2 linked regions of the Stegostoma tigrinum genome follow. The protein of the gene in region 1 binds, or shares a complex with, the protein of each later gene. Links are inferred from orthologs where the notes say so. Each region holds a gene or a part of one and is shown in the gene's direction. Other genes may lie near its edges.

Region 1 (13,501 bases):
TATAATATCCCCAAGTTTGCAGAAGACACAGCTGGGTGGGAGGATGAACTGTGAGGAGAAAGCAGACACCCTTCACTGTGATTTGAACAAGTGGAGTGAGTGGGCAAAACCATGACAAATGCTGTATAATATCAGTAAATGTGAGTTTATCCACTTTGGTAGCAAAAACAGGAAAGCAGATTGTTATTTGAATAACAACAGATTGCACCTCTCCCTTTCCCAGTGAGACCAGGATGTCCTTGTATACTGGTCGCTGTAAGTAAGCATGCAGGTGCAGGGAGTATTGAAGAAGACAGTTGGTGTCTTGGTCTTCAAAACAATAGGATTTGAATACAGGAATAGGGAAGCCTTGCTGCGATTTGCAGAAATGGTTATACAGATGATTCAGTATGTTGGTGTACAGGAGTGCTGTAACAGAGACTATTGGGCATGAGCCTGCTCCTGCAATTTCCCATATATTACTTCTCTATCACAGTCAGGCTGGCTGATGCAGTGCTAAACAGAGATAAATTACTTGGCTACAACCTGGAGTATTGTGTGCAGCTTTGATCACTACAGAGTCATAGAGGCCTATAGTACAGAAAAAGGATCTTCTAGTCTGTGCCGAAGACAAGCATCTAACTGTTTCCAGTTCTTGATTCATAGCCTTGTAAACCTTGGCATCATAATGCACATGGAAATACTATTTAAATATTATGAGGATTTCTACCTCTGCCACTCAGAAAGGCAGGATGTGGCAGATTCCCAACACCAACTGGGTGAAAGAAAGATTTACTCACAACCCCTCTAAGCCTTCCTGCCCTTACTTGGCGTATTGTGGTTATAGATACTTAATTCAAAACAAGTTTAAATTACCTTTTACATCCAGGAAAGAATGAAAGGTTCACGTTGAAATTAATCAAATGTCATTCTTGTAGAAGTTGTACACGCAAGTTCTTCTGTCTCTCCAAAATTGTCTCTTCATCGTGCACAATTTCCCACTTTTATCCTTGATTACCCAGCTTAACAGTCTGACGTACTTGGATGTAATTTTGAAAATTTTACAACTATCATTAAATCTTGCCTCCTTCAATTAAACAATAGATTTTGTATAACTCCAGTCTGACATTGAATTTAATGATCAGTTGAGATTTTAGATAATACTGTAACATATTAAAGCATTGATCATGTGCATTTGCTCAAACGTATTTTGTTTTGGAACCTATTTCCTGTCTTTATAGCATTGGGATTTCTTTGTAAATGCCTCAGAATGCTGGACATGTCAGTGATGAAGCAGCCACAGGAGGGCAGCAATCTCACCTTGCTAAAATTAGCAATGAAGAAGTCTGCTAGACAGGTCATGGAAATTGCAATTTGGTAAAAATTGTGTCCAAATGAAGCCCTCAGTATTCCCTTGACAAAGTTTTTTGAATCAGCAGTGTGCTCGTGAGAAATAGTCATACAAATGGTTCACTATGTTGGTGTACTGGAGTGCTGTGACATAGAATATTGGGCATGACCCTGCTCCTGCAATTTCCCATATATTACTTCTCTATCGCAGCCAGGCTGGCTGATGCAGTGCTAGACAGAGATAAGGAAAAGAAGAATTTGGCAGAGGAAATCAGACACTGGATCATCTTGATCATAATTGTTCCTGTCTGTTGTCCAGGTCCTGCTTGCTCACTTGCCCTCTCCATGAGGTGCTACAAAAATAGGATTTTAAAATGAGTAACATAAAAGAAGTTACAATCTACGGTGATGGTTTGTAGCAACTGTGCTAAGGTTTCTTAAATCTCTTCTATTGATGCAATCATTACAGGGCTTCATGGAAAATGGATAAATCCCTAATGAAAGATAGAATTGCATTTATATAGTGCCTATCATGACTATAGCTAGTCAAGTACCTGAAGTATAGGTGTTGAGACTTTATTGTAATGAACTGGTTCATCTGTTGCATGCTAAATGCTGTGAAACTGCATGATGTATGCAAACAACAAAGATTACAAATGGATCATTCCATGCAATTAATAGAGTAGTGTTGTAATAATCATTTTCTCTTCCAGAAATGAGATTCCTCTGTAAGGATTTAACTGATTAATGGGAAGTTACTTTTATTAATGAAAAATAAAATGCTGATCTATATTATTCTATCTGTAGCATTTGTCATTGAATTCTGCCAGCAGCTTGTTTTGTGGCATCTGATACAAACTACTTTTATGAGGGTGCAAGTGGTGTTGGAAAGAGAGCTGTTCTGATGAAGAGTCACCAGACTTGAAATGTTAATTCTGCTTTCTGTCTGTCGATGCTGTCAGACCTGCTGAGTTGTGCCAGCAATTTCTGATTTTTACTTCAGCTCACCAGCATCCGCAGTTCTTTGTTTTGTTATAGATAGCTCTAAATATTGTTACAATTGAGCAACAGTTATGGTTAGTCCTTTCAGAAGGATTTTTTAATTAAGTTGTTAATTTTATTCTAGTATTCTGTTCCACATTGTATTGTGCAACCGTTTGTCCATTTTGTGACTAATCTATTCTTTCAAATGAAACTATAAGCTAGTAATTTCAGACATAGTTTGTATATTACAATAATAAAAGGTAGATTTTCGTTTTCATGTGAGATAGACATGAGAGTTCTCACAAAACAAACTGTACAGGCAACATTTGTTTATTTTTTTTCATTTCAGTGTTCTTGGCTTTTCCCTAAAGAAAATAAAGTGTTTACTCAAAGTGGGCAAAATTATGAATCGCATAATCTGATTAAACTGTAGATGAAGATTCTTTGCATTTTCTCAATGTGCCATGCCATATAAGGAGACTGTTGCTGACATCGACATTTCTGTCCCTCAGTGGTTAGAAACTCAGCTGTTTAAATTTCCATATCGTGAAATCCACTGACATTTCATTGAGCTTTGCGCTTTGTCATTTTTCAGCTTATTATTTGATATGTGACTGAACACAAATGTCCAGATTTTAAGCATGCCAATAAATAGTCTCAATTCTTTACAACAGCTAATGGTTATTTGATGTGTTGTCGATATTTGATATCCAGTCGTCAGGGAGTTTTGATGTTCCATTTGGTTGTCAGGTTTCGTTCAGTCCTGAAAGGCAGAAAACAATTATCTTCAAGTTTCAGTGATAATGGGAACTGCAGATGCTGGAGAATCCAAGATAACAAAGTGTAGAGCTGGATGAACACAGCAGGCCAAGCAGCATCTCAGGAGCACAAAAGCTGACGTTTCAGGCCTAGGCCCTTCATCAGAGAGCTCTCTGATGAAGGGTCTAGCCCCAAAACGTCAGCTTTTGTGCTCCTGAGATGCTGCTTGGCCTGCTGTGTTCATCCAGCTCTACACTTTGTTACCTTCAAGTTTCACATCCTTTCTCTTGCATTGGGAGTTTGGTAGTCCCTCCTGCCATTCCACATAGTGAATTCAGGACAGGACACAGGATCTCAATGTCACAGCACTGTTTCTGAAAATTACTTGTCCTTTGTAATATTCCCTGTTGTCGAGTCAAAGTCAAAAAGATCTACAACACAGAAACAGGTCCTTTGGTCCAACTTGCCCATGCTGCCCAGTTTTCATAATTTAGACTAGTCCCAATTGCCTGTGTTTGGCCCATATCCCTCCACACCCATCCCATCATGTCCCTGTCTTAAATGATGAAATTGTACTCGTTTCCACCACAACTTCTGGCAACCCGTTCCACACCTCCCTCTGTATGAAAAAACTACCTCTCTGGACCCTTGAGCATCTCTCCCATCTCACCTTAAACCTACGCCCTTTAGTTTCAGATTCCCCTACCATGGGGAAAAGCTGTCGGCTTCTCTGTGCCTTTCATGATTTTATGTGCTGAAGAAAAGACATGTTTAATTCGAGCTTTTCATCATGTTCTTATCAGAACGCTGTGCAAGACTTCCAATTTAAAGGAGGAAACTTGATATTTACATACTATCTTGCTGACCAATCAGCAATCTTGTCTCAGGCAGCATAAATGTTGCCCTCTTTTTCCAGCTGGTATTTCTTGGGAATTGTCCTGATGATGAAAAGCTGTGACAAAACGTGTCTTTATTCAACTTCTGTGCTCCTGCCACTCTATGAAAAACGCATTCATTCAAAGGTAGAAAATCCTATTTAGTCTCCAAGTTAATTTTACTTAATGTATACTATAAATGCTATGCAAAAATATGGGAAGTCTTTACTTCCTCACATCTATTATTATTGTAGTGTGTATATATAAATAAGTAGAGCTAAAGTATGCACTTGTCTAATACAGTTTCCAACATGCCCACTGAAGTTGTTCATTGTGTGCTTTCAGTTATTTTTCATGGTTCAAATAACTATGTCCCCACTCTCCTGACCATCACAGTTGTGATGGCATTGTTTTTCTCCTCCAAACAGGGCAAATCATCCAATTCTTGCTCTATCCTGACACCCTCTTCTCTCCCTCCCCACTTCCTGTCCAACTGTGACCTGATTACTGTGGCTTGTTACCCCCAGCTGGCTCACGTTTCTGACAATATGAATTAGCTGCCTCAACTGGTCTAGTGTACACCTGCAGGATTCTAGCGATAGGCTTTGCCCAAAGTAACATTTGCTCTGGGCCATGCTATTTTGAACCTGCATGGCAGTGATTGCTTAGAGTTGCACATGATTTCAAAATAAAAGTGTTACAGCCATCAAAGGGTGTTAGTGCAGACATCTGGAAATTTGCTTGGCTTGCATCTGATTTTGAGTCCACTGTGTGCATTAACTTCCAGGTCTTAGCCTTGGCACCACCGTTAACTGAAGGATAATATTTTGGGAATATAAGATCCAGGACCTCATATTCTATGGAGTTAGTTTAAAGCGCAAAGTTTGCAAAATCAGGTCACGTGCTGGATATGAAACACCAAATCACTGGAATTTTAAATTGCTGCAGTAATTTGGCAAGAACTTAATCAAACCTATAATTAATTGTGTGGAAAAAGCAGGGTAGGGGTTGCATGACAGCTCAGACATCTCAGAGAACACTTAATACTGATAATGACAATCTGAGTTTACTCTAATATCATCGGTGAAAAGCTGACAAAATGCCTTCGGAATAAAGCAATTATGTATCAAAGTAGATCTGATGCATCGAAAGCTACTTTGTTCATTAATGAAACACCATGAGTGGTATATTTTAGAACATAGAACATCGAACAATATAGTGCAGAACAGGCCCTTTGACCCTCTTTTGCGCCGACCTGTGACCTAATCTAAGCCCCAACACTATCCCATCATCGTCCATATGCTTATCCAAGGACTGTTTAAATGCCCCTAATGTGGCTGAGTTAACCACATTGGCAGGCAGGTTGTTCCACGCCCTTACCGCTGTCTGAGTAAAGAACCTGCCTCTGACATCTGTCTTAAATCTATCACCCCTCAATTTGTAGCTATGCCCCCTCATACAAGCTGACGTCATCATACTCGGAAAAAGACTCTCACTGTCCACCCTATCTAATCCTCTGATCATCTTGTATGTCTCTGTAAAATCCCCTCAGCCTTCTTCTCTCCAATGAGAACAGACCCAAGTCCCTCAGCCTTTCTTCATTAGGCCTTTGCTCCAAGCCAGGCAACATCCTGGTAAATCTCCTCTGCACCTTTTCCAATGTTTCCACATACTTCCTGTAATGGTGCGACCAGAAATGCACGCAGTATTACAAATGAGGCCGCACTAGCATTTTGTACAGTTGCAGCATGACGTCACAGCTCTGGAACTCAATCCCTCTACCAGTAAAACCTAACGCACCTTATGCCTTCTTAACAGCACTATCAACTTGGGTGGCAACTTTCAGGGATCTATGTACATGGACACCAAGAATCTTTCCATTGACCCGGTATTCTGCCTTTCTATTATTCTTCCCAAAATGAATCACCTCACATTTATCCACATTGAACTCCATTTGCCACCTTTCAGCCCAATTCTGCAGTTTATCCAAGTCTCCCTGCAACCTGCAACATTCTTCCACACTGTCCACCACTCCATTGACTTTAGTGTCACCTGCAAACTTACTAACACATCCACCTATGCCTGCATCCAAGTCATTTATAAAAATGTTAGTGGTTCCAACACAGATCTTTGAGGCACACCACTAGTAACCGGACTCCAGGCTGAATATTTTCCGTCAACCACCACTCGTTGCCTTCTTACAGAAAACCAGTTTCTAATCCAAACTGCTAAATCTCCCTCAATCCTATGCCTCCGTATTTTCTCCGATAGCCTACCATGTTGAACCTTATCAAAGGCTTTATTGAAGTCCACGTACACCACGTCAACTGCCCTACCCTCATCCACGTGTTTGGTCATCTTCTCAAAAAAGTCAATGAGGTTTGTGAGACATGACCTGCCCTTGATTACTCCTTTTTGAGGATATAGTTATTTATGACTTGCATATGAATTAATAACGGCAATTTTGCTTCTTTTGGGTAATTACTGAAGTTTAATTTTGATAAATAATGAAACTTTGTTTTGATCATGATCTAGAAAACAAAGTTTTGACAATTTTTAAACTTCATGCAAATATGTTGCACTTTGAACTAACTCTCAACATTAGGTTGTTTCAGTTACCAAATAAATCGTAGATCTGAGAGATAATGGGAACTGCAGATGCTGGAGAATCCGACATAACAAAGTGTGGAGCTACACGAACACAGCAGGCCAAGCAGCATTTTAGGAGCACAAAAGCTGACATTTCAGGCCTAGACCCTTCATCAGAAAAGGGGGATGGGGAGAGGGTTCTGAAATAAATAGAGAGTCGGGGGAGGCGGATCAAAGGTGGATAGAGGAGAAGATAGGTGGAGAGGAGTCAGACAAGTTAAAGGGGTGGGGATGGAGCCTGTAGAGGTGAGTATAGATGGGGAGATAGGGAGGGGATAGGTCAGTCTGGAGAGGACAGACAGGCCAAGGGGGCAGGTTAGGTTTTGGCAATAAGTACTAAACCATCTCTGTTTTAAACATCTAGTGTATCTTTCCCTGTTAGTTTTTGTACCCATAGTGATATCTTCAGTGTGTAATTGTATTGTGGTTAAGGTTTACAATATGTTACCATTTTGGAATTTGTTTTTTAAAAGTAGAGGTAAAGTAGATTTTGGTTTCAGGTCTGTGAGTGACTGACTTGTGTTTCAGGTCAAAGCCATTTGGAGTGATGAACTAAAGACACAGGCCTGCATTTTACGTTTTTTAGGCTAAGTGCAAGTTGTACTGAATTTTTTGGAGGGTGTCCTACTGTGACACCAAGTGAGATTTCTCACCATATCTTGGCATATAGTGTGAGGTGGTGGCACAGTGGTAATATTATTGGGCTGGTAACCTAGAGGCCCCGGCTAATGCTCCCAGGGCATGTGTTCGAACCCCACTTCTACAACATCTGGTAGATTTTGAGTTCAATGAATAAATTCTGGTATTGAAAGCTAGTAATGATTACCATTCAATAAATTGAGTTCGTTTTGGGAAAGGTTCTTCTAGCACAGTGGCTCAGTGGTCAGCACTGCTGCCTCAAAGCGCCAGGAACCCGGGTTCGATTCCAGCCTTGGTGGACTGTCTGTGTAGAGTTTGCACATTCTTCTCATGTCTGCATGTGGGTTTCTTCCCACAGTCCAAAAATGTGCAGGATAGGTGTTGGCCATGCTAAATTGCCCATAGTGCTCAAGGATGTTTGGGTTAGGTGGGGTTTTTTTTCAGGTTAGATTAGATTCCCTTCAGTGTGGAAACAGGCCATTACGGGCAATTTGGCATGGCCGATCCACCTAGCCTGCACATCTTTGGACTGTGGGAGGAAACCGGAGTACAGGGAGGAAACCCACGCAGACATGTGGAGAACGTGCAAACTCCGCACAGACAGTTGCCCAAGGCTGGAATCAGATGAGAAATGCAGGGATAGGGGAATGTGTCCAGGTGGGTTGATCTTCAGAGGGGCAGCATGGATTTGTTGGGCCAAATGGCCTATTTCCACACCCTAGGGATTCTATGATCCTATTGAACACCTTTCATTAACCACTTCACTCACTTCTATGATGTCCATCACGCCGATTCTACCCTCCTTTCACCATGCGCCTTTTTCAGAATAACTCGTCACTGAACAGATATCAACTGACAGACCAGCAGTCCTTGTTCCTTTTGTGCATCTGTATGAGCATTGGAATTCCAAAGCTGCCTTGCTAATTCAAGGATATTTTGTTGGAGAAGGAAATGATGGCATTGCAATTCCCTGACAGGAACCTGGAGGGTGGTGCAAAGGAGACGGGTCTCCTTCTTGTAGAACCAGCAGAGGAGACCACATTACCAGATACTGGTATAAGGCCACAACTTGGATCGGTACAGTCTCAATGATGCCTAAGCATGGCCAGTGGTGTTGTAAGAAGGTCAATGGCAAATAGTCAGGATCCACACTCCTCTCTCTGCTTGCACCCACCTCGTGCTCAGGCCCTGTCACTCTCACTATTATTGCCTGCAACATCTTCCCTCATTCACCTGCTTGCATCCCCCCAACCTACCCACCTCTGTCGAATTTTGCACGCCATTCAAGGCCGCTACACTACCTCCTTATCACCTTAGGACACCACACCAGCTTTCACCCACTTGTACCAGCACTAACAGCCATTCCACCCACTGCTATCTCACTCAATTTGTCTCTTCTCTTATTACAAGAAAAAACAGAGCAAAAAGCCTCCAGTGCAGGTGGAGGGGTACCAGATGTTAGGCTTCTTACCCGCTATGAGGAAAGAATCTTGGCCCTCGCTGGAAAAGACTGGAATCACTCCTGCGGGGTCGCCGAGTAAGTACCTTTCTTCATTCCATAGTAATTCTCATATTAACTCCTCCATCTATCTCAAGCAATCATTCATTCATTGCACACCATTTCTAACCATTGGCCTTCTCTCCCTTTATACTTGCAGTTACTACCAGCATCTCCTCCATCTCTGTCACAAAATACCCAACTCCCCCAGAAACAATTGTCTTGACCTCTTGAGTATGAGAGTACGGAGTCTCATAGGGGGCATCGGTATGGGTGTCTCCTGTGTGTGCGCTTTGGTGTGGAGCTATAATGTGGTGAGCACCTCACAGTGACAGCTTCACAGCTGACCAAGGAAAAATTATCCCAGGCCACTGGTATTCGGAGGACTGCCAGTATTCAGGCACCTGTCCAACCCTAGGCAGGAGAGGACTTGACTGTCAGCAGTCAGGGACTTTGTCTATATCCACAGGGAGGAGCAGGAGCAGTGGGGTGCAGTGACCCTCATTGCCCAGAAATTGCAGCACTTTGGTGGCACAGGTGATAATGCTATGTACATAATTTGACACCTTTCTACAAATGGCACTGCTTTGACCTTGCATTGGTTGTTTGTCTCTCTGTGTAGCCTTGAATGTAATTGTTGCAGCATGAAGCATAACTTCGTGGCCTCATACGATGTATTACTATCAATGTCTATGTTCAGACCCTGCTGCTGCATGTGGAAGTAGGAGGAATAAGGCACTTACAGGGTGATGAGTCCTGCTCATCTAATAGCCCCTCGTTGCACAACATCTCTATTCTTTCCCTGGGCTCTGCTCCCAAAGTATTGACTAGAATGAGTTGATCAGTGATATCTAGAACAGGGAGGTGCACAACAAGCATGGGGCCAATGTATTATAATAGCCAGGGATGAAGGACCCCACAGACCTGTGTACTACACAATGCATGGGTCAGTGTGTAATGTAGTTTGCATGTAAAGGGCCTCACATTGGTTCATCTTGGAGTCCCTCCCCTCCCATGTCGAGTCATTTACTCCACCCACGTCGAGTGTGGTCGCAACTGTTTTCCTCCCCATTGCACACTTTTGATTTCTATCATAATGGAAAGTGATAGTGAGCTCTCATTTGCCAGCAGTTTCAGCCTCTTCTCTGTTTGGGAGAGCTCCCAAACATCCAAATCCCCTTCCTGGTAGCCCTTCCCATAGATTTCATATTTCCCCAGGTCCCCATCCAACCCATCTTCATGAGTCTGCACCTGCCCACTTATCTCCCCGAAACACTGGCAATAAGATGACTATGCCAGGTGTTGTCATACAGTTTGAGACAAGGCTGCTTGCTTGTTGCATGTGCGGTTTGCTGCACAAACAGCTGGCACATGGAGCAAGTGTGAGACTGGCAGCACAACTGCCATATAGCAGGTATACATGCCTGTGAATGAGGACTGCTGACCCATGCACACTACCTGGTTTTATGTCACTGTGCTAATTGGCACAGCCAAGAAAGGCATAAATAGTATGAGCATGCCGGTAGATACTAAGAGATCAAATGAGCAGACCTGTGACGCAAGCTGATCGAATCTGTCAATTAGGTGACTGTTCCTGCATGTAGTGTGCTGCTGCTGCAATCTTTAAGTACTAGTTGTCAGTGTAAGTCTGTGCTTCCAGAGTGCTGTGCAGGTGTATCAGATTGCCATGATGGGCATAAGGAATTAGCAAATGGCAGTATCTGTGGGTGAACAGTGCATACCATTGGTGTGCATGGATCATGTCTGGGGATGCTGTTTGGACATAAACAACACAGAAGTCCTTTTGGACCAAGCAAGGAGCTGAAGTCACCAGGTACGCACTGTGATTTTCATGACTAGTTTTCTCAGTGCCTAGCTTGTTTGGCACATTTAGAAGCATAGGAAGCTGAATGTTAATGCGGTGAGTTTGGCCATTAAGGGTATTTGACAAGCAATAATCCCCCTTAAAAGCAACTCCATGCTCCTGAGTGCGAAACTCACTTATCAATAGTACTCAAGCTGGAGTGAGATGCCCCCAATATTGAGATAAACCTTGTCAGATGACTTGTCTTATTCTACCACAAATCTCATCATAGCCCATTGTCACTTGGACTCCTACAAGATTCTGCCCATGATTTTCAAGAAATTGTGTGATTTTAGTTAAATGCTTAGATCAGATGCTTTGGAAGTTAATTGCCGAATATTTACAAAGAAGAGTTTTAAGACAGAAAGCTCTTTGGGTCAGAGTCCAGCATCACAGTTCAGAAAAACAGTAAATCATCAGCAAAAATGCAGATTGTAGAAATCTCCAGACAGTGAGAGTTTAGTTTATAGAAATCTTCCAACTTTCAGAGCTGGAGGAAATAGTCTTGACTTGCTTCAACAGTCCAGGAAGAAGAAATGGGAAGAGTTGTTTGAGTAAGAAATTTCAACAGTTAATACAGGAATAAGATTTCACTGGGATTGAGAAAGACTAAAGGATATTAATGGGAAAAATAATTGTTTTTGCTGTTAAGGGGTGACGTTACAGAGGTTTATAAAATCATGAGGGGCATGAGCAGATGCCGAGGTCATCTTCCTCAGGTGGAAGACATAGATTTAAGGTGAGAGAGGAATGATTTCAAACAGACCTGAGGGGTAACTTTTTCACTTGGGAAATGCGTGTATGGAACAAGCTGCCAGAGGAAGTAGTGGAAGCTGGTACGATTACAACATTTAAAAGGCATATGGATGGGTATATTGAAGAGCATGGGTTTAAAGGGATATGGGCCAAATGCTGGCAAATGGGACTAGGCCAGATTGGGATGTCTGATCAGTGCTGACAAGTTGGGTTGAAGGTCTATTTCCTTGATCTAATTCTATGACTTTATAGAACGTGAGCAGTATAGCACAGGAAGGGGCTCTTCAGCCTGTGATGTTGTGCTGGACGTGATGCCAAATTAAACTAATCCCTTCTGCCTGCCCTTGGTTCATATCCCCCCATTTCCTTGCATATTCATGTGCTTATTAAAATCTCTTGAAACCCCTATTCTGTTTGCCTCCACCACCACCTCTGGTAGCGTGTTCCACACTGTGGGGAGAAATGTCTTGTCCCCACATTTCCTTTGAATTTTCTCCCTGTCACTTTAAATACATGATCCTTGGACTTTATAACTTTCTAAATTTTCCATGTACAGCTTGTGTTTTTTTCCTTTGTGCAATAAACTGGTGTTGTTTTGTTAAAAGAATATTGACAGCTTTGTGTGAATATGTTCAGTAATTAACCACCACAATAACCAAACTGTAAATATGAAAATTTTGATCTATGAAGCTTGGTTTCACTCTGGGATTTGACTTGTATGTTATTGAGCTCGGCTTGTAGAGTTTGAAGAATTTGAGCAAATTAGTCAAAGATGTAACAAGCAAAGTGGATATTCAGGATCCTGCAGAAGGCATTTGATAAGGTTTATATGCTGGGTAAGATCACACAGGATTACCTTGTATAGAGAACTGGATTACCAATAGAAAGCAGAGAATCAGGATAAATGGATCTTTTCCTGGTTGGCAAGCTGTAACTAGTGGAGCGCCACAGGATTCAGTCCTTGAGACCCAATCTATTTACAATCTATATTAGTGACCGGGATACAAGATAGAATGTACTGTAGCCAAATTTACAGGTGACACTAAAATAGTTGGGAAAGTGAATTGCCATAAATAAATAAGATTTTCAAATTAATACGGATAGGTTGAGGTGAATGGGCTAAAATTTGGCAGATGAAGTTTAAATTGGATAACTGTAAGGCTATCCATTTTGGTCAGAACAATAGAAAGGCAATTTATTATCTAAATGGAGAGAAACTTGAGAGTGCTTTGTTGCAGAGGAATCTCATGTAGGAATCTCAGAAAACCAGTATGTAAGTACAACAGGTAATAAGGCAGGGGGGTGGGGTGGAGTGGGAATTGAATTTTCTTGTTAAAGGAATGGAGTGTAAAAGCAGGAAAATGTTGCAATTATGCAGCCTCACCAATGCCTTGCATCTCAAGTAATGTGTATAGCTTTGGTCCTCCTACTTGAAGGATGTAATTCCACTTGAGTCTGTTCAGAGGAGGGTCACTAGATTAATTACAGTGATGAAAGATGTCTTATGAATAGTGATTAAGCAATTTGAAAGAATGAGGGGAGATCTAATTGAAGTAAATAAGATGCTAAAGGGGATTGACAAAATAGATACACAGCAGATGTTTCCCTGCATTGGGCAATCTAGGATAAGAGGTCATAGTTTTCTGCTAAGGGATAGCAGATTTAACACTGATGAGGTAAAATTACTTCTCTTAAAGGGTCACTAGCCCAGAGTGCAGTTGGTGCTAGGAGACTGAATATATTTAAGGAGGAAATAGACAGCTTTTTAGTTAGTAATGGGCTAAAGGGTAATGAAGAGCCGGCAGGAAAGTTAAAATTAAGGCTGATATGATCATATTGAATGAGGGAGCAGCATCAAGGGGCTGAATTGCCTTCTCCTACTCTTAGTTTTTTTTAATTATTGCCATCAGTTCAGATCACAACAGTATGTCTGAGCAGACCTATTTTTAGGGAGTACTAAAGTTTGTACTATTTGTTCTCGTTTGACTTTCAGGACCTTCCTATTTATGTAAAGGATACAATGCCATTGCGTATCTATGCAATGGAATCCTTTCAGGCTACCCCATAGGAGAACTACCAGCTAAGTCATATTGCTTAAAAGCATATGACTAATTGTGTGTGTGTGTGTGTGTGTGTGTGTTGGAGGGG
Region 2 (12,392 bases), on another chromosome or scaffold:
CCAAAACAGATTTTCTAGCCATTTATAGCATAGCTATTCAGAGCATCTTGCTGGGTATAAATTAACAGTTGTTTTCCAGGGTCAACTCTTCAAAAAGTGTTTTGCTAACACTGCTGTTCTTGAGGGAAATTTGATGGTATAAATGCAGACGTTGTTCCTTTATTTTCTAAGATGTTCTTAGTAATGAAAGGACCTGCGTTGTGCAATGTTTTATCAAACTTTCAGAAATCATCCAACTGCTTTTCACACTGCTATTAACCAATGGCTCTGTAGCTGAATTTGGTAACCATTTTGCCCAGATAAATAGAGCTAATGTGAACGATTAGATCTGTGGAGTGTGGAGCTGGAGGAACACAGTAGGCCAGACAGCATCAGAGGAGCAGGAAAGTTGACTTTTTGGGTTGGGACCCTTCTTCATTTCTGAAAGGTCTGCTGTGTTCCTCCAGCTCCACAATGTGTTATCTTTGACTCCAGCAACGATAGTTCTTACTATCTTTGATTAGATCCTTGGGGTTTCTTTTTTGTCTTTACTGCAGTAGAAGCTTTAATAGAGAAGGAGGAAAGTGCCTTGGGGATTTTTAAAGTGTAGGGGTGGAGATTATATATATTTGTTGTTCATAGCTGTTAGAATTAGGATGTGTGTCCTTGCAAATGTCCTAGTATTGCTGTGACAGTCTCAGATTTTCATTAACTGCCCTGTTGGCCTAACAATTTCAGCAAAATTGTTGAAATGTCCACATTTTCAGCTTTTCTCCCATTAGACAGTCTTTATACAATTATGTCAAATGTAACAAGGCAGTGACAATTAAGAATGTGACTGGAATATCACAGGGAAGATATATCCAAAAGGTGAGGGAGGGGATTCCTCGAGTGATTGACAGTTGACCAAGTGCTCTTGCAGAATTAATCCAGGCCATTTCTCGGCAGTATTGTTCAGCAACCATCAGCTCACTGAAACCAAATGATGTACTGAAAGTGGGTGCAACTTCAGGTCAAAGATGCTGAGGAGAAACAGCACTGTCTTAACTGAGGAAGGATTTACTTACCATAGTGGGAGTAAATAAAGGTTCACCACATTAGTCCTTGGGATGGTGAAATTGTCTTCTGAAGAGAGATTGAGGAGATCGGGTCTGTATTCCTTAGAGTTTTGAAGAATGAGGAGTGACCTAAGTCGTGTATGCAGGTACAGTTACAATGTTTAAAAGACTTTTGGATAAGTACATGAATAGGAAAAGTTTGGAGGGGCACGGACCAAGCGCAGGCAGGTGGGACTAGTTTAGTTTGGGATTATGGTCAGCATGGACTGGTCAGATCGAAGGGTCTGTTTCCATGCTGCATGACTTTATGACTGCTTTGTCACTCACAAAATTCTTGCAGGACTTGAGGAGATGGACATAGATAAGATGTCGCTTTTGGCTGATCCAGGGTACCCAGTCTCAGATAAGGAGTGAACTATTTAGGACTGAGAGAAGGAGGAATTTCGTCGCTTAGAAGGGAGTGAATGCTTGGAAGTCTCCAGCCCCGAGGGCTAAGGAGATGCAATCATTGAGCAGGTGCAAGGCAGAAAATGATGGATTTCAGGAGACTAAAGAAATCGAGGTATGTGGAGACAGTACCTGAAAGTAGCATTGAGCTAGATGATCAGCCATAATCCAAGTGAATGGCAGAACAGGCTCAATGAGCTGAATGGCCTGCTCTTGTTCTTATGTTATGTCTCCTTAATATGAAACTCAATATTAGGTGGGTTTGTGCTTTGACTTTTAAAAATCTGCAATCCTAATTAAAATACAGTTTTGAAAAAGTTTCATTTTCTATTGTTTTCAATGCTCTTATTTTTATGCAATTCCCCAAAGATCCTAACTGTTAAATGGGAAATTCAGTACAAATCAATCTGGATTATATCTTTTCTTAAGACTGGGTACCAATGTTATTGATCCCCTGCAGCACCTTCTACAGGTGGCCAATCTTTATGTATCTTGTTTGTCTGTCCCTTCTGTAATAGCTTGGTTCAACTTCTGCAACTCCCATGTTTCAATTTGGAAGTTGTATATTCAAGACCCGTGCCAGGTTAAGATTTGGTATGGAAATAGCACGGTTAATGTTGTAAAACTTCCCCAGGGTCCTTTGGAAGAGGATTATCAAAGAAAATTTGACAGCATTACACATATGGAGAAATTTGAGCAAATGATCAAAAGGCAAATCAAAGATTTAGGTTTTAAGTGTTTTTTAAAATATGCAATAGATTTTTATTTCATTCTCTGCATGAATGCTTAATGTTGGTGGAGCGACAGCTGATTGGAATGTTTGAACAGATATATGGGTGTGGTTCTTGACCCGATGATAAGTGAATTCATGGTAGCCCATGTCCTAGCCTCCTACTCCTCACACCAGGCCTTGTTATCGCATTGCCTGCCATTACACAGTACCTATAACCAGTTCTGAGGAAGGGTCATCAGATCCGAAACGTTGACTCTGCTTTCTCCTCTACAGATGCAGCCAGATCTGCTGAGCTTTTCCAGCAACTTTGTTTTTGTTCCTGATTTGCAGCATCCGCAGTTCTTTTGGTTTTTACCTATAATTTGTCACCAACAGTCCCCATTAACAACTATTCACCCTCCTAGTCAGATTGTTATCAACTCCTCTGTCTATCTAATTGCTCTTCTCTCTCTTCAGGCTCTATCCTATTGTTTACTCCCTACCCCAGCTCCCTCCCTACTTTCTGCATATAAGCTGACGTTTTCCCAGTTACCAGCAGTTCTGAGGAAAGGTCACCGGACCAGAAACATTAACTTTGACATTTTTCTTCACAGATGCTACCAGACCTGCTGAGCTTTCCCAGCAACCTCTGTTTTTGTTCCTGGTATGGGGCTTCGGTAAGCACAATCTCCAGCTCGAGATTTGGAGCCAGGTAGCTGTAGGATCTTAGAGATGGCATCAAATGTAGCTTTAGCAAATAAAAAAACAAAAGAACTGCAGATCTTGCAACCAGGGTTAAAAACAGAAGTTGCTGGGGAAGTTCAGCAGGTCTGGCAGCATCTGTGAAGAAAAAAAATATCTGGGTTAACGTTTTGCATCCTGTGACCCTTCCTCAGAACAGAGTTTTAGCGAAGCTCCCAGTCTGACTGTTCAGCCTCCGGCAAAGGGATGGTAATCATCAGCACTGGCCTACTGAAGTAGTTTCTAGGGGACTGGAGCTGAGACAACCCGGTACGTTGAGGAACGGGAATCAGACGCCCAAAGCCTAAGTCGCGATGCCCAGTAACCTTGCATGGTAGAGTGTGGGATCTTCCAATTTGGTTATCCCAGTCACCCCTTCTTACAGAAATGATTAACAACTTTGCCAGACTGATAGGTCCACAAACTGCAATGACCACTTCTTTGCAGCATTGAAACCCAAACCAACACATCTGTTATAGTCACCAATTGCAACAACATCTGTAAATCAGAGATAATGGGAACTGCAGATGCTGGAGAATTCCAAGATAATAAAATGTGAGGCTGGATGAACACAGCAGGCCAAGCAGCATCTCAGGAGCACAAAAGCTGACGTTTCGGGCCTAGGCCTGAAACGTCAGCTTTTGTGCTCCTGAGATGCTGCTTGGCCTGCTGTGTTCATCCAACATCTGTAAATCCATTGGATTTCCTGCACACATTTGCTTCTGTATGGGCATGATCTCGTTCTTCAAGAGTGATCCAGAAAGAAGACCCATTGATAGGGTTGGAGAAGAGATAAATTCCATCCAGAGTCTTGATTTTCATGTCTTTACCAAGCTTAGTTACTCAAATCCACTCCTTGATGGCATGAAGGCTCAGTGGGTAACACTGCTGCCTCACAGCACCAGGGACCCAGGTGTGACTTCACCCTCAAGCAACTGTCTGTGTGGAGCTTGCACATTCTCCCTGTGTCTGCATGGGTTTCCTCTGGGTGTCCTGGTTTCCTCCCACAATCCAAAGGTGTGTAGACTAAGTCAATTAGCCATGGGAAATGCAGGTTTACAAAGTATGGGTGGGATGCTCTTTGGAGAGTCAGTGTGGACTAGATGAGCTGAATAGCTTGCTTCCATACTGCAGGGACTTTACAAATATCTTCAGCCTTTCCACTGCGAGTGCCACATCCCCTAGCACAGCATTGGCCCTGCCCACAGGCCACCAGAGCTGAAGCCACTGTGGAAGCTCCCTCTACTGCTGGTGTCTTTAAGGAGTACCTTAACAGATGATATACAGAACTGATGATGTGACTGCCAATGGGCTGTTGAAAGTAAGGAAGCATAAGAGTCTAGAATTGAGGATCTTGGAGGGTTGTAGCAGGTTACAGAGATTGGATGGAGTGAGACCATGAATGGATTGGAATATAAGGATCAATCGTTAAACTGAGACATTACTTATCCAGGTGCCAGTGTAGGTCATGTGAGCACAGGGGTGAAGGGTGTGTGGGACTTGATACAAATTAGGTCATGAGTAATTCATCTAGGTTAAATGATGTCTGGCCGCCAGTAGGGAACTTTAACTGTATCGCCACCATCATTCCACCCCAGCTCTTCAAACTGATTATTTATCTGGTTGCAAGCTATGGGTTCTTGCTAAATGATGAATGGCTGTTGCAATGACTGAATAAATCAGAATTTTCGGTCAGATGAAAATCATGTTAACGTGCTTCTAATTATTCAGTAATCTCCAGTGATTTTGGACAAATGGAGTTTTCAGTTAAAGCAATAATGGGAGATGTGGGATAATTGAACTCAGTATTCAGAAGTAATTCAGCATCTATTTTAAGCTTTATACTCTGACCTCATCTTTCAACTTCTATTAGCCCTTCTGCTACCACAGTTCAAACAAACTCCCTCTTGAAATATTCCGTGTGGTAGTTGCTCTGGTCTGTTCATGTGGAAGTGTAGTGCCTCCACTTGGTGGAAATATGTAGCTACAGGGTGACATGTTTACAGAGGTGAGGACTATTAGAGATACAGAGTCTGATATTCATAACGCTTTTGAGAAAAATTAACAGGAATTCCATGCAGAGGTAATAGTTAATATGTTATTACAGATCAATTAGATCAAGTGACTTTATTCATTTAAAAATCAAGAGGTGATTTTCATCAATTGTAAAACATTGAGCCAAACCATCCTGTTTTTGAGTATGCAGGAAACCGACTGGGCATGTTAGGGCAACCCAAGTACAGACATGAGCTGAAATTTTACAAATTCTAAGGCAGCAGAGGATAAACCCACCTCCCCAACCACTCTCCTTCTGCGCTTCTTGTAGAACAGTAGGTCATATCCTCCACTCTCCTGGCCAGCTCTCATCGCAGGGTGAAGACAATTTTCAAGCATCCAAATGTGGTCATAGTAGGAAAGCCTCCTGGGTATGTAGGGGAATCTATTTTCAGTCACTGGGGCTTAGTTTAAAACTGGAGCCAGATTTTTCAGCGATGACATTAGGAAACAGTAGGACATGCAAAAGTTTGCAGAAACCATCTGCTGTTGCAATCCTCATTCACGTTCTCTCACTCACTCTGGTCTTCCTTATTCCAACATACCTCTGGCTGATCTCCTATATTTTACATTTTGTAATCTTAAGCTCATCAAAAATTCTGCTGTTATGTTTTAACTCACAGCAATGTCTGTTGACTCCCAGTCAAGCAACATTTTAATTTTAAAATGGATTCTCCTTCTTATTTCCAAATCCCTCAAATGCTATCTACCTCACTGTCTTTCTAATCCTCCCCAGCTCCACAACTGTCTAAGAGATTTATCTTCCTTAAATTCTAGTCCCGTGTGAATCCTGAACTTTAATTGCATTGGTGGTTGGACTTTCAGTTTCCTGGACCCTCAAACCTTTGATACACTTCTTAAACCTCTCCGCCTCTCTAACTCACTATCCTCCTTTAAGACACCCCTCTGATCCCATCTCCTTAGCCTTTAGTCACTTGACCTAATATCTCCTTCTGAGGCTCGGCATCATACTTCCTTTTATAATGCTCCCGTGACACTGTTTAATTGTTTTTTTAAAAAATAAAAGTATTTAAAAATAGGTTGTTCTTGTTTCTATATTGCAGAAGTTTTGGTAACTTTCAAAATTCATATGAATTTTCTAAGAATATAGATTCAGGAAAACATTTGGCTCCACAGAGAATATTTATTTAATGCCTTAATATTTCCTTCAAGCATGAAAAGAGATTGGATATACAGGGATTATTTTCCTTGGAACAGTAGAGACCTCGGTGGGGGCATGACTGAGATATATAAAATTATAAGCAGCATAGACAGGAAGGAATAAATAAAACAAAGAACTGTGGATGCTGAAGATCTGGAAAAAAAGTCATAAATTTTTGAAGAAACTCAGCAGGTCTGACAGCATCTGTGGAGAGAAAGTAGAGTTCAGAGACCCTTCCTCAGAATAGACCCTTCCTCTGAACAAGGGTCATTGTACTCGAAACATTAACACTGCTTTCTCTCTATAGATGCTGCCAGACCGGATGAGTTTTGGATAGGAAGGCACTTGTGGAAGGGACAATAACCAGGGGGCATGAATTTAAAGTAAGGGGCAGTAGGTTTAGAGGGGATGTGAGGAAAAAGATTCACTCGAGATGGTGGTAGGAATCTGGAACTCACTGTTTCTAAGAGTGGTAGAGGTAGAAACTCTCATAACACTTAAAAACTATTTAGATGTCCAGCTAACTGAGGGTTGCACAATGATGCCAACAGTGTGAATCACTTCCTGCACCTGCCGAGATTACATGCAGGACTCTCCTCCTCTACTTCTCCCCTCGCTTAAGGCATGGTGACCCTGAGGTTAAACCACTACCCGTCATCTCTTACAGATAATGCAAATACTTTTATTTAGATGTGCACTTGGCGATGTCAGGGCATACAAGGCTATGAGCTAAGTGCTGATTTATAGGATTAGAATAATTAAGTTGTTGTTTTTGACTCAATGTAGCGAAGGGTTCTTATCCAACCTGAGACCTCTGTAATGAAGTGTGAAGCTGGATGAACACAGCAGGCCAAGCAGCATCTCAGGAGCACAAAAGCTGTTTGGCCTGCTGTGTTCATCCAGCTTCACACTTTATTATCTTGGATTCTCCAGCATCTGCAGTTCCCATTATCTCTGTGACTCTATACTGGTGCCCTTTCCCATTGTAGGCCTTCAATAGATTTTTAAAATCTAAATTTATCTAATTTTTAAGAATCTGTTGTTGATGGAAGGGACTGCATCACTTGAAACTGCATTGAATGCGGGGGAGGGAACTGTAGCAAAAAAGTTTACAGAGCTGCGCGTGCGCGGGCGGTTGTTAGGGAGCGGCGGCGGTTGCTAGGGGACGCGAAGGTATCCCGGCGTACCTCGGGAAAGTGAAGGCCTGTAGCCAGGGGGGGGGGGTCCGGTTTCTCAAGATGGCGGCTACTGTACAGCTCCTGTGCCTGGCAACTAGCAGTGGCGTGCCTCTGTATTGCAGAAGTAAGGGGGAGAGTAGGCAGGTAACCTCACTCATGTTACATTCTTTGCAGTGCATTGTCTTCTCTTCGTTTTCTACAACAAAAAAAAACTTTTTTTTGTTTGCTATTTAAATAAAGACCATAAAGCCATATGGAATAACCACAGGAGTAGGCCGTTGGGCCCTTCTAGCATGCTTCACCATTCTAAAGGTTCATGGTTGATTCCTCACGCCCATTTTTCCCCATAGTCCTTGAATCCCTGACTGACTGTCTATCCTCTCCAGTTAAACCACTGCCATTCAGCTCTCTCTCTCTAATGGGACAGTATCCATCTCATCTGGTTGGACTATGGCAACTTTGGCTTTGGGAATTAGTTAGCCCAGTTGGCTGGATGAACACGGCAGGCCAAGCAGCATCTTAAGGGTCTAGGCCCGAAACGTCAGTCTTCCTGCTCCTCTGATGCTGCTTGGCCTGCTGTGTTCATCCAGTTCTACACCTTGTTATCTCAGATTCTCCAGCATCTGCAGTTCCTATTATCTCTTATGGCTGGATGACTGTTTTGTAGCACAGATTCAATTTCCACACCAAGTGATATTACCATGATAGATTCTCCTTCTCAACTTTTACCCTGACCTGAGCTAGTGGTGACCCTCAGGTTAAACCCCCACCAGTCGCTTTTCTGCAATGAGAGAACAGCCCCATAGTCTGATAAGACGGTGGCAGCTTTATGCACAGCTTTCTGTGGTGAGGAGCGCCAAAGACACTCAAACCTCAGAGGAGAAAATAAAAGCAAGAAACATTGGGGGCTTGCACTCAGGAATTACTCAATGCAATTTCAAACAATTTTGAAGATGCTACTGTCCTGAAGAAGGGCGGAGACATGGGGAATAATTTTTTGAGTGGCATGGTGACTCAGTGGTTAGCACTGCTGCCTCACAGTGCCAGGGACCTGGGTTCAATTCTACCCTTGGGTGACTGTCTGTTTGGAGTTTGCATGTTCTCCCTGTATCTGTGTGGGTTTGCTCTAGGTGGTCTGATTTCCTCCCACAGTCCAAAGATGTGCAGGTTGGGTGGATTGGCTATGCTAAATTGTCTGCAGTGTTCAGAGATGTTTAGGTTAGGTGGGTTATGAGGGTTGGGTCTGGGTCTGGGTGGGATGCTCTGAGGGTCAGTGTGGACATGTGGGCTGAAGGGCCTGTTCCACACTGTAGGGACTCTGTGAAATTCAGTGAGAGAGAGGGTACAAAGAGAAGGAAAGTCTGAAGCCCTTAATTAGGACGGCCCGAAATGTTGACTTTCCTACTCCTCGGATGTGGTCTAATCTGCTGTGTTTTTCTAGCTCCACATTTATTGACTCTAGCTTCTGACATCTGTAGTTCTTACCGTCTCTAGGGTACAAAGGGAATACTGATTTGGTAATATGGTTTTGTTAGTGGTGTGCCCACTGTGCTGCTGCATATGCCAAGCCTGACCATCCATTTAGTATAAATGGTAACTGGCTGGCCATTTTATTGAATGAAAATGGGGGCAAGAATTAAATGCCACAACAAATGTTTTGGACATCATGCTGACAAAACCAGTATTTATCCCTCATTTCTCTGAAGAAGGTGGTGGTGAGACATGTCCATGCAGGGCAAGTTACTGTTTTCGAGGCAGTCCTCAAAGTTGTGATGCAAGATTAACCAATTGTATCTTCTAGCCGTGATGGCAAGGAACTTGCAAGAGCCGGTGTTTCCATTTGCATTTTCTGCCCTTGTCCTCGGTAGTGGAGGTATTTATTTTAGTTGGTCATGGGATGTGGTGTCACTGGCTGGGCAGCCTTTATTGCCTACCCTAGTTGCCCTTGAGAAGATGGTAGTCAGCTGCTTAGCTGGTTTCTTGAACTGTTGCCATCTGTTTGGGTTGAACCGCACACATAGTGCTGTTCGGGAGGCAATTCCAGTATTTTGACCCAGCACCAGTAAAGGATCAGGGATAAATTTCCAAGTCAAGATTACAATTGGCTTGGGGGTGGGGGGGTGGTGGACTTGCAGGTGGTGATGTTCCCGTGCCTCCACTGCCCTTGTCCTACTTGATGACAGTGATCATGGGTTTGGAAGGTACTATCTAAGAAGCCCTGATGAATTTCTGCAGTGCATCTTGTAGGTAGTACACTCTCACCATGGTACACTAGTGAGAGTGAATACTTAAGTGATTTGGTTGCTAATAAACTGAACTGATGAAGGGGTCAACTCTATGACTCTGGAAGGCACCTGGATGGATACATGAATAGGAAGTGTGTAGAAGGATGTGGGCCAAATACTGGCAAATGGGACTAGATTAATTTAGGATACCTGGTTAGCATGGATGAGTTGGACCAAAGAGTCTGATTCTGTGCTCTATAACTCTATGACTGCCCAGTGCTGCTCCGTAGTTGGCAATATAAGTATAGGAGATGGCTATTGAAATTAATCACAGCTGATCTGCACCTTAAATCCACCTACAAACCCCTATTGCTTAATATCTTTGCCTAACAAAAATTGAACAACCTTAGTTTCTGACATTTTTAATTGAACCCCAAAAAGCTTTTTCGTTTTGGTGAGAGAGTTTCAGAATTCTACTATCCCTTTATTTACTCTTAAAAATGTATTCTCCTCCTGGACGTGGATAACACTGACTAGGCTTGCTTTGTTCAACCAATCCTAATTGCTCTGGAGAACATGGTAGTGAGCTGCCTTCATTAATCACTGTAGTGCACGAGATATAGAGACGCCCACAGTGCTGTTAAGACGGGAGTTCTGATATTTTGGTTCGACCGACAATGAAGGACAAGTGATAACCATTCCAAATCAATGTAGTTTATGGCTTGAAAGGGAGCATGCAGATGATGATGTTCCCATGTATCTGCCGTCTTGTCCTTCAAAGTGGTAGAGCTTGCAGGTTTGGAAGATGCTGTCAGTGGAGCCTTGTTTACTTGTAAGTGCATCTTGCAGATGGCATGCACTGTTACTATTGTCCAACTGTGGTGAGGAAGTGAATGTTGAATGTGGTAGATGGGATACCAGTCAAACAGCATACTTTGTCCCAGATAGTGTTGAGTTTCTTGAGTGTTAATAGACCTGAACTAATGCAGATAAGTGGAAAGTATTCCATCACATTCCTGACTTGCTCCGTGTAGATGATGGCTGGGCAGTGAAGGAGTGGGGGTGGGAGCCTTATGCAGTGAGATCCTTGCTGCAGAATTTGCATATAAACATACAAGAGCAAGAGATAACAAGGTGTAGAGCTGGATGAACACAGCAGGCCAAGCAGCATCAGAAGAGCATGAAGGCTGATGTTTCGGGCCTAGACCCTTCTTCAGAAATGGGGGAGGGGAAGGGCATTCTGAAATAAATAGGGAGAGAGGGGGAGTCGGATAGAAGGTGGATACAGCAAGAGCAAGTTCCTCAAACCTGCCTCACCATTCACTCAAATCATGGCTGACTCGAATACTCCTCAATCCCATCTGTACACCTGATGACCTTTTATCATCCCCCTTGCTTACCAAGAATCTTCATCTTACCTTGGTCTTAAGAATACTCAAAGACCCAGCTTCCACTGCCTTTTGACTTTTTTTTCTAGCCTCAGACCTGCACTATTAGCATGTTCTTGTGTGAAGAAGTGCTTGCTGATGTTACCCCTAACAGGCTGAGCTCTAGTTTTGCCGGTGTACCTTCCAAACTGTCCCATCATAGAACATCATTTGTCTCTCTGGAAACGTTCTTTCCCATTGAGGGAGAGTCGAGAACCAGAAAACATAATCTCAGTTTAAGGGGTTACCTGTTTAAGATCAATAAGGAGAAATTTCTTCTGTCAGGGGATAGTGAATCTGGAATTCTTTACCACAGAGGGCTGTCGAGGCTGGGTCATTAAATATGTTCAAGGCTGAGATGGACAGATTTCTATTCATTATGAAAATCAAGGATATGGTTGGGGGGAGGAGCAGAAAGTGGAGTTCAGCATCACCACATCGACCATGATCTTATTGAATGGTAGAGAACAGGCTAAATGACCTACTTCTACTCTGAGATCATGTAGACTTATGAATCCCATCGGATCTTTCAGTTATTTTAAACACTGGGATCAAGTTGGCTGGAAAAGTTTTAATGGCCTGAATGGAGTTTCTGTATTTCAGTCAGTCCCTTTTGTTTTGCAGCTTCCGTTCTCGGTTATTGGCTCTTTGAATGGAGTGCACATGTTTGGGAGTAACCAGGATATTTTTCTAACCAGCACCTGTACTGACAACACCAGGGTCTGTTGGAGAGTTTTCCACGACAGGTAAGGTAGAACAAAGGTCCAGGGATCCATTCCGGGTTTTGTTCTGTGTGAGACACAAATGCACTGCAAGATCATATTTAAAATTAATTTAAAACAAAAGTTGATGACCAATTTCCTTATAGTTGTATTCACTGATCTGTTCAAACATGTTACAATACACCTCCTGAGCAAGTGGGACTTGAAACCTGATCTCTGGCCTAGAGGTAGGGACACAGCCACAGTACCGTGAGACCCACACAAATTGTCTTCATAAACTTTTCTTAATGGGAAAGGAGCTGCTCCGTGTCCAGGAATAACAGGACAAGAGAATTTGAGAGCAGCTGTGTTGGAGGTTTTCACAATCATCAGGGTTCTGGATGGGGAGAGACCATTCCCATTGGCAGAAGGGCCAAGAACACAAGGAGTTAGATTTAAGGTGAATCCTGAAAAAAACATTGTGACATGAGGAAAAAATGTAGCAAGTGATTAAGATCTGGAATGTGATGGAAGCAGATGCAATCATGGCTTTCAAAAGAGAATTGGGCATTTGTCAGATGGTGAAAATTTGCTGGATGACATGAAAATTGTTGGGTGAGTGGGGCTGGGTAAGTTGCTCTAGCAGAGAGCTGGCACACATGTAATGGGATGAATGGCCTTACTATGTGCTATAAACATCCTGTGGT

The links.
Region 2: the proteins of wdpcp (region 1) and fuz are in contact, whole or in part, in a cryo-EM structure (PDB 7Q3D), measured with the Homo sapiens proteins. The link is inferred for Stegostoma tigrinum from reciprocal best matches to the Homo sapiens genes WDPCP and FUZ. Residues at the interface, in NP_056994.3 of Homo sapiens: Arg55, Ile57, Asn75, Lys78, Leu82, Glu418, Asp419, Arg420, Leu421; in NP_079405.2 of Homo sapiens: His293, Glu372, Glu373, Pro374, Arg379, Gln397, Pro399, Thr400, His401, Gly402, Ser405, Leu406.

Annotation. Positions count from the first base shown.
Region 1 is NC_081362.1:1,604,782-1,618,282, reverse strand, and holds the start of wdpcp (WD repeat-containing and planar cell polarity effector protein fritz homolog), read left to right. Parts: upstream 1-8,687; 5' UTR 8,688-8,690; coding exon 8,691-8,772; intron 8,773-13,501. UniProt on the Homo sapiens protein: Probable effector of the planar cell polarity signaling pathway which regulates the septin cytoskeleton in both ciliogenesis and collective cell movements.
Region 2 is NC_081391.1:22,111,410-22,123,801, forward strand, and holds the start of fuz (protein fuzzy homolog), read left to right. Parts: upstream 1-7,368; 5' UTR 7,369-7,392; coding exon 7,393-7,476; intron 7,477-11,608; coding exon 11,609-11,730; intron 11,731-12,392. UniProt on the Homo sapiens protein: Probable planar cell polarity effector involved in cilium biogenesis. May regulate protein and membrane transport to the cilium.